Linked DNA regions of Struthio camelus. The protein of the gene in region 1 interacts with the protein of each later gene in a biochemical or structural test. Links are inferred from orthologs where the notes say so. Each region holds a gene or a part of one and is shown on either strand. Other genes may lie near its edges.

Region 1 (3,908 bases):
GTCTTGCTCTCTCATAGAGTTAAACTTCTGCTGTGTCCTCACTTTTCCTGGAGCTCCTGCCTCACTCAGAGGACGGGACAACATACAAAGAATAGAGCGATGAATCATGCTGCCACTTAGGGCTGGCACACACCTCTTTTTTTTTGCTGAGGAAGGTGTCTTCTCCCAGTTGCTTGACATTGCTCCAGCAACATCTTTTCTTTGGATTGGTCAGCTGAGTGTGGCCTTCCCCTGGTTCATTTCATTGCATAGTGTTAAGGTCAACAGTCCAAATGCAAGTCTTTGCTAGCCTAGGGCTCTTTGAAAGAACAATGATGCTACACCACGATGATACAGAGTATGTTTAAAAAAAGATGTCGTGCAGTCCCTTTAGCACTGGGTCAAACAGGCGAAGGCAGACTAGAGAGAAAGAGTTCAGAGTAAAGCTGGACTTGAACAGAGTAGAAAACGCCGTGCCAATGGCATGATAATTATTTTTCACGCCTTTTAGAAAATAAGATGCAGAAATACAGAACAGCAAAGCCTTCCTACCTGCTGCAGAAAGTTCTTAGGTCGTTCTTAGCCCACACAGAACGACACCACAGGGGGTGGTCTCCTGTTTGGGGGGGGAGGGGGTTGAAAAAGCAGAGGTGCTGCTGAATGAGCTGTATGTAGCAAGCTCCTCTTCTGCAGGGTGAGAAGGGTTTGTCCTTCTCCTCCATCTAAAGAGACATGCTGGAAAAAAACGAAAGTGCCTGAAGGAACAGGAGATTTTCTTGCACCAGGTGCATATGACTTCGTGGTCCAGCCGAGAGTCGCGGGAGGTACAGAGGGGTATCGGCAGCGCCAGAAGCAGCTGCAGCACAGTGCATTTCTGCCTCCCCCTCCCCATCCTGCCAGGTCGGGCCCGGTGCTGAGCGGTATCGTGCAGCTGCGACTTCAGACAGCGAGCGTCACCTGTGGGGCCAGGTCTCAGCAGTGACCGAGGCTGAACATACGATTGATAAAGCTGTGAACAGCTGGCCACATCTGCTCTACACTTTGGGGAGGGGGGGGGGGGGGTTGCGTGTGCCGTTATGAAGCTCAGTGTCCCTTCTGCAGCGTGCTGGCCCCTTCTCGCTTGGACCCCCTCGAGCGACCCTAACGCTGCCCAGGTGCTGGGGGGGGGGCACCTCGGGGGCCCCGCCTGCCTTTAGAAAGTCATTTTCCGGTCTGGTGAAATGCGGGAGGCAGCTGCTGAAAGGAAGCCGGGAGGAAGAAGAGGCAGGAGGGGGATAACGCGGGGGCGGGCAGCGGCTCCGCGGCTCTCGCCCCGGGGTGGCCTCCCTTGCCCGCCCCCGACGGGCCGGCGGCTTTCGGTTTCCTTTCTGCCGCCGGCCCGGTTGAGTTTCGTTTCCGCGGCTCTCGGCCGCCTTTTCCGCCCGCCCCGCTCCCCCTCCGCGTTGCCGGGCCAGGGGGCTGCCCCCTTTCCCCTGCGCCCCGACGGCTCCGGCAAAAACCGACCGGGCCATGACGGCGGTGGAGAAGTGGAGCCTGCGGTGCTACCGGCGGCTCATCGAGAGCACCCTCAACCCGCTCTACATCTTGGGTAACATGACCGACTGGCTCTCTGACGGTAGGTGCGGGGTTGGGGTGGTGGGAGCCGGGCCGGCTCCGGGGCCACGCAGGGTCGCGACGGGGCTGGGGTGGGCGCCCCCCCCCCCCCGCCTGGTGTAGCCTCCCTCCCCTCGGTTTTGCTTTCCTTGGGGTAGGGGAAGGGGGTTTCTTGGCTCTGCAGCCTTGCCCCGGGGGGACGGGGCCGCCCGGTGCCGCTTGTTGTCTGCGCCCGGTGTCGGCCCCTGGGAGGTGAAGGATTTCGCGCCCCGCCGCAGGCTGGGACCGGGCAGCCCCCCTGCATCCAGCTACGCGCTGGCACTTCTTTTTTTTTTTTCTTTTTGGTCTTAATTCAGACCAAGTTTTGGTTTTGTGCCAGAGGTCAGAGAGAGGATTCGGAAGGAGGAAGAAAAGGGGGTGATGGCAGCCGCGACGCTCTTCCTGGATGTCGTCCTGCAGCTCGAGAGCCAAGGCTGGTTCAGGGGCTTCCTCAACGCGCTGGCGGCGGCAGGTGAGTTCCCGCCGACGTGGCCCTCTGCGTCGTCCCCTCCGCTCCGCCCTGTCCCCTGCCTGCTCCTCCTCTCCTGGAAAGCAATGCCCAGGGGTCCGTCGAGGGGGCGGTTGCGACTGCTGCGGTGCCCGTCTTTGCTCCGCCGGACTGGGCCGCTTGGAGGGTGGAGCAGAGATTTCAGACTAACCCTGACCTGCCGGGAGAGTTATTTGCTCCTGCTGCCTGTTCCCCTGTTTCTCTTGGGGAAAAAAACTGGGAACGAAACAAAAAAGCAGCCCCGAAACACAAACAGTCACCTGCTGTTTGCATGTGGGCAGGCTATTGCACAGCCGACACAGGATGGAAAGTGATGCACCTTGACTGTGTTTGTTGAGATCTTGTCACACCAGATGAAAAAACGCTCGGAAAAAGTAGAAGATTGCCTGAGATTGACAGAAAAACTCACAGAAAACAAAGGGAAATTCCCATATGAGAAGTAGCAGAACAACCTGGCTGATGGAGACAGTGAACAAAATGATGAAGGGATGCACAATAAAGCCTCATTTATGTAAGAAATGTTTGTGTCAGAGCACCAGAGCAGCAGACTCTGTCTCAGAGCGTTTAGAGAAGGAGCGAGAGAGCCATAGTTCTCATCAGGTCTGATTAAAAGCATCCTCTGATAGCAAAAGCTGAATGTTTAAAAAAGAGGGGAAGAGGGGCTTCAGGGTATGTGTGTGTATTAACTCGTAGCATGCGATAGCTTCATTCAACCCCAGGGTTTTAATTTAGAAAATATTTTTAAAAAGACTAGCTCAGAGGTCTTGAAGTCCTATGCTTTAAGACCTAAGTAGCTCTTAGCTGTTTGGAAATTAGGTAATAGTCCCTCAGTCGCTCTTAGTGCTTGATGAGTCAGGTACTAGTGCAATTTCCTTTGCAACAGGTGACAGAAAAGATTGTGGAGATACAAAATTGTGAAGATTTGCCAGCTTTCTTCTCAAGATGCAGGTTCTACCACAGGTTCTGGTTGATGCTTTGTTAGATATTTCAACCCCACAAAGGCCATGCAATAAGCTACTATTGCTTTTTTTACTCACTCTTCACTACAGTTAATTATGGTGTCTCAGTGAGAAATTGTTACAAGCTTTCCTAGCAGTTGGATGTCTTCCGCTCTCCCCTTAAAACGAAGTCTAGATCCAGGGCAGCTTCTTATCAGCCTGCTCTACTGCTAATTTCTGAATTGCAAAAATGTCTCTTTTAAGTACATTAGTAGCCTTCAGTTTGATGTATCTTGAGCAGAAAACACTGATAAAGTTAACCCTCTGTGACTCCAAGCACCATCCCAAATAGCTGTTCTCTTACCTTGCCTTGCAAGTATTGCCACTGCTCTTGGGCCTTAGACTAGAATTTAGCATTACCGTGCATTCAACAGATGCAGAGACAGCTGATAATTCGAGTAAAGACTTTGTGTTGGCGAGTCTCTCCACTGCCTCCTGCTCCTCCAAAAGAAAAGAAAAAGTTAAGCAAATTCCTTCTGCTCTCCCACAGTTTCTCTAGGTCCCTGCCCTGCTTTTGTGCACTTTCAAGCCTTGTCTTTTGTGCAATGCAAATTACGTAAGTCCTCTAATTATGTTTCCTTGGTGCTTTCTGCTCCGTGCCCTGCTTGCTGTTTTGCCGAATGCCTTGGCTGCAGTTGTCTCAGTCTGGGACTGACCTGAAGGCAGAATGATACGGAATATTGGAGGGGGTGGAGGCGAGGATGGGAATTTCAGGTGGTAAATGAAAGAGAAGGGGTCCGAAGCTGTTTGTGATTCGCAGCAGTGTCTTAAAATTCTACAGAAGAGTATGC
Region 2 (3,908 bases), on another chromosome or scaffold:
TCCGTTACTTGAGTCCATACAACTCGTGACCAAGAGGCAAAAAGATCATCACCTACCAGGAAGATGCAGAGTGTCCTGTCGGATAGACCTAAAATGCCAATTTGTGCTGGAGTTACTGGATGTCTTACTGTGGGAGGAGCACAGCCAAGCAGCGGCTGCATACTCTGGCAGTCACTGAGCACATGTAAAGCTCAGGAGCTGTGCTCCACCTGCCTGCAGCTCCTCTCCAGACAGGGACAGGGTTGTTTTCAGTGGGTTTAATGTCTTTTACAGTGTTGTATTTCTGGTACAGAAATTATAGAAATAAAAGTCATGTTTGAATTGTAGAGGATACTGTAATGGACTCAATCTGATGACAAATACCCCTAGCTGCTTGCTTTTGGCAGTCTCTGCTATTTGACTCTTCTATAACTGGCAGATCTGACGTGTGAACATCAAATTTTTCCAAAGCAAAGCTGGATAGTGGGTGCCCCAACCAAGGCATTATGAGTTCAGGATGAAGATATGCTGACCTGTCCTACCTCCGGGAAGTCCAGCTGAAGCTTTGGGTTCTAGATTCACTTAATGAGTTGGTCTAATATGGGGACTGAAAGGCAGAAGCTACTTTTAAAAGTGTTATCTTCAGTGACCTGCTTGAAGACACTCGGTGAATAAGTACCAGCACTGGAAGTGGAGGGTGAATGCCTCCTGATCGGGTGCCACTTAATCTGTTCCATGCAGAAATTAGTGAAGATTTACATGGGCTGATACAGTGCACTGAGCTTTTTCTTGCTGGACAGAGTGTAAGGTTTGATTCTGCCAAGCAGCCAGTCATTCAGATATTTGATTCTTCTCTTTTATACTGCCTTAGTTTGCAAATCAAGCGGAAGTCTTGCAAACTAAGTTTCTGGTAAAGCTGTCACCTCTTGCTGATGCTTGCCAGCCAGTCTGAGATACCCAGAATAGTTCTCCTCTTCTGCAGAAATGAGGAAGTGCTGATATGTGCAGGGATTAGTGAGATTAACTTTGTATGTGTGTGTGTGCAATAGTGGGCAAAAATGATTTGAGTTGGATCTTCATTCTGCCTGTCTCAGCCAGCTCATCACCATCTCACCCTGAGCAATCTGCAGCAGGAGTTTTGCTTGCTTATACGCTCCCATAAACTCCCGTGTTCCCATTCTCGCCACACAGCCCAAATTCCAGTTTGTGGTGATTCAGCAAATCTTGTAGCAATCTGATCCAGCAGCCACCGAAATCAATAGCAAAGCACCTGCTGACTTGTATGAGGAAGAGTATCAGTCTTGGTTTGGTTTTACACACCTGAGTAACAGGGGATGATGCTCAGTAGGGAGCAGGCCACCCAGTAGCCTAAACTTCCTGGATGGTGCTGTGCTGGTCCCACTGAGCTGTGTTACTTGCTCTCCCAGACGGGTCAGTAGGCCAGCCCTGTCAGCAACTCTACTGAGACTTCTCTAACAAAACCAGGAAACTCCCTGAGAAAGTGAAATAGTGCAGATGCGACAACTTTTTTGCCAGAGTCAGTAAAAGTCAAGGCCGGATCACAGAGTGCTCTGCATGACAGTTCCTTTCTAAGTCAAACCAATTCATAGACCAGAGCTGCCAGAAGAGGGGAGTGCTGGGCCAGGCACTGAACTTTCCGGCTGCGCCCTGCGTCTTGGCCTGGAGTCTGTGGGAGCCTCCCGGCCCGTTTCTGCTCCATCCTGCCTGCCTGGGGTGAGCTCGGCAGCCTCGGCCCAGCTGTGGGGCCCAGCCGTGTGGGTGGACCCATCTCCACCGCAGCACAGCAGCCTCTCAGTGGAGCCAGCGTTAGAGGAGAGGCACCATCCTGCGGTGTCCTTGGCTCTCTCCCTTCGCTCTCGGAGGGGATACCCTGTCCCCACCATCCCATTGCCGTCTCCTGGCTTTCGCACACAGAGGGAGCCTCTGGGAAGGCAGGAGGAGGGGCGCCTGTGGGAACCGAAACTGAAACGCCAGAGATCATGGCGGCCTCTGTGGATCTCCGGCAGCTCCAGGCCAAGCTGGACTTGAAGTGCCCATGCTGCCTGCTGTACTTCACCGACCCCGTGCGGCTCGCAGGCTGCAGCCACAGCTTCTGCCGGTCCTGCATCACCACCTACTACTGCAAGGTGAAGAGGAGCGCCGGCTGTCCGCTCTGCCGCGAAGGCTTTGAGCTGAAGGACTTACGGCCCAACCGGGAGCTGGCCGTTCTGGTGAACTTGGTCCCCAGGGAGGAAAAGGAGAAAGAGTGGGAGAAAGAGGAGGAACCGGAACCGGCCAGAGCTGGCGCCTGGGGTGGCCAGCGCTCAGCAGGGCGGAGAGAAGCCGTGAAGGTATGGCCGGAGGCCGCCCGGGGATCCTGCTAGCGGCAGCCCCCTGGGACAGGCAGGGACAGCCCAGGGCTCCTGCCCTCACCTCCCCAGGAGATCCTGGGGCTCCTGCCCAGAGTAACCCCCAGGGATACCCTTCTGCAGGGCTGTGAAAATGGGGATGAGGCTGGAACTGAGTTAACTTCATCTGTTTTCTTGCATTTTTTTTTCCTTCTGGCTACTTTGCATTTCACATGCCAGTTTAGCATTCTCATAACAGTATCACATTGAGAGGGCTGCATATATGCAAAAGGGGTGCTACGAGAGGATGCTGGAGCACTACCTGTTGATCACCGAAGGGCTAGAGACTTTAGATGTCTGTAAATATATCTTCACTTGTTTTCTTTTTCTTTCTCTCCATCTCTGTTACTGTCTTTCGTTTCCGTCTCCATTTTTCACCATTGCCTTATTATTCCTCCAGTTAAAACTAGCAATGGGCAAACAGTGTAATCCCAGCGTGTGGTATCCCTCGCCTTGAGCGCTGAGCATCCTGGAAGACAGAGCGTTGCTTCAGTTGTTTTGTATCCCAGTCCCTGTCTGTTCTTTCCCTCCTCTTTTCATAAACATCTTTAAGCGGTGTTATTTATTGCACAGGCTTAGCTGGAGACAGCTAACTGAAACATAACATTATTTATACGGTGCTACAGCTCCCCCTAGCCAAACGGCACAAAATGCCTCTGGTTCATTATCTACGTCTCTGCTTAAAAAGAAAAAAACTTTAAACAACTCCCACATTTTGATGGAAGAGATGAGCAAAATCTGACTATTGACTCGCATTATTTTAGCACTATACGCACATACGTACACACACAAGACAGTTATCTTCAATCTCTGCAGTCAAGCAGAGGGCTTAAGCTCATAATGACATTTGAACATGTAATTGTTGAATGTTGACTTTGCTGTGATTATTCACACTCAGAATTAATTGTGAGCTCTACCCCGCTTTGAACCAGTCAGTGCATCGCTAATATCCATGATGTAGGGGGTTTTATTACTCTGCTGTATAACGTAGTCATGTTTTCTCTGAGTGTTATATAGATAAACAGTCCAATGTGTCACTTTAAAGGAGGAAGAGATAAGTGAGATCTCCAAGCAACTGGAAATGACTGAAGAGACCATCCGCCTCTTGAGGGAGGATCTCAGTAAAACAAAGGTATGGATGTGTACGTTCATTAACTGCAGTTAACTTCTGTTTCCACATCCACCTGGAGAACCTGACTGACACCAGTGCAGCCTTCTAGCCCAAAGCAGGGATTTCCTTTTCGTTTCCTTTTGCTCTCATACCTCTTTTTTTTTTTTTTTCTGCTGAGTGTGGACTATGGCACCAGCTGCGTTAACCCCTGCCTTAGCTGGCGCAAGGGCCACAGGAGTTGCATGTTGTTGTCTTTTTCTGCCTATCCCAGGAGCAGCCTGGATGCTTCTGGAACCCTTAGAGGCAAAAGGCAAGGCATGAAGAGGGAATATTGATCTTTGCGAAGATGCTGACCAAAGACTGCTGGCCATAAAACAGTCAAGATCCGTAACATGCTCAAAATCCGACTG

The links.
Region 2: of the proteins of RIGI (region 1) and RNF135, one has a biochemical effect on the other in vitro, tested with the Homo sapiens proteins (6 studies listed by BioGRID, with this or other methods). The link is inferred for Struthio camelus from reciprocal best matches to the Homo sapiens genes RIGI and RNF135.

What each region holds. Positions count from the first base shown.
Region 1 is NC_090982.1:9,800,707-9,804,614, forward strand, and holds the start of RIGI (antiviral innate immune response receptor RIG-I), read left to right. Parts: upstream 1-1,196; 5' UTR 1,197-1,488; coding exon 1,489-1,594; intron 1,595-1,951; coding exon 1,952-2,083; intron 2,084-3,908.
Region 2 is NC_090960.1:5,021,029-5,024,936, reverse strand, and holds the start of RNF135 (E3 ubiquitin-protein ligase RNF135), read left to right. Parts: upstream 1-1,601; 5' UTR 1,602-1,979; coding exon 1,980-2,330; intron 2,331-3,432; coding exon 3,433-3,519; intron 3,520-3,908.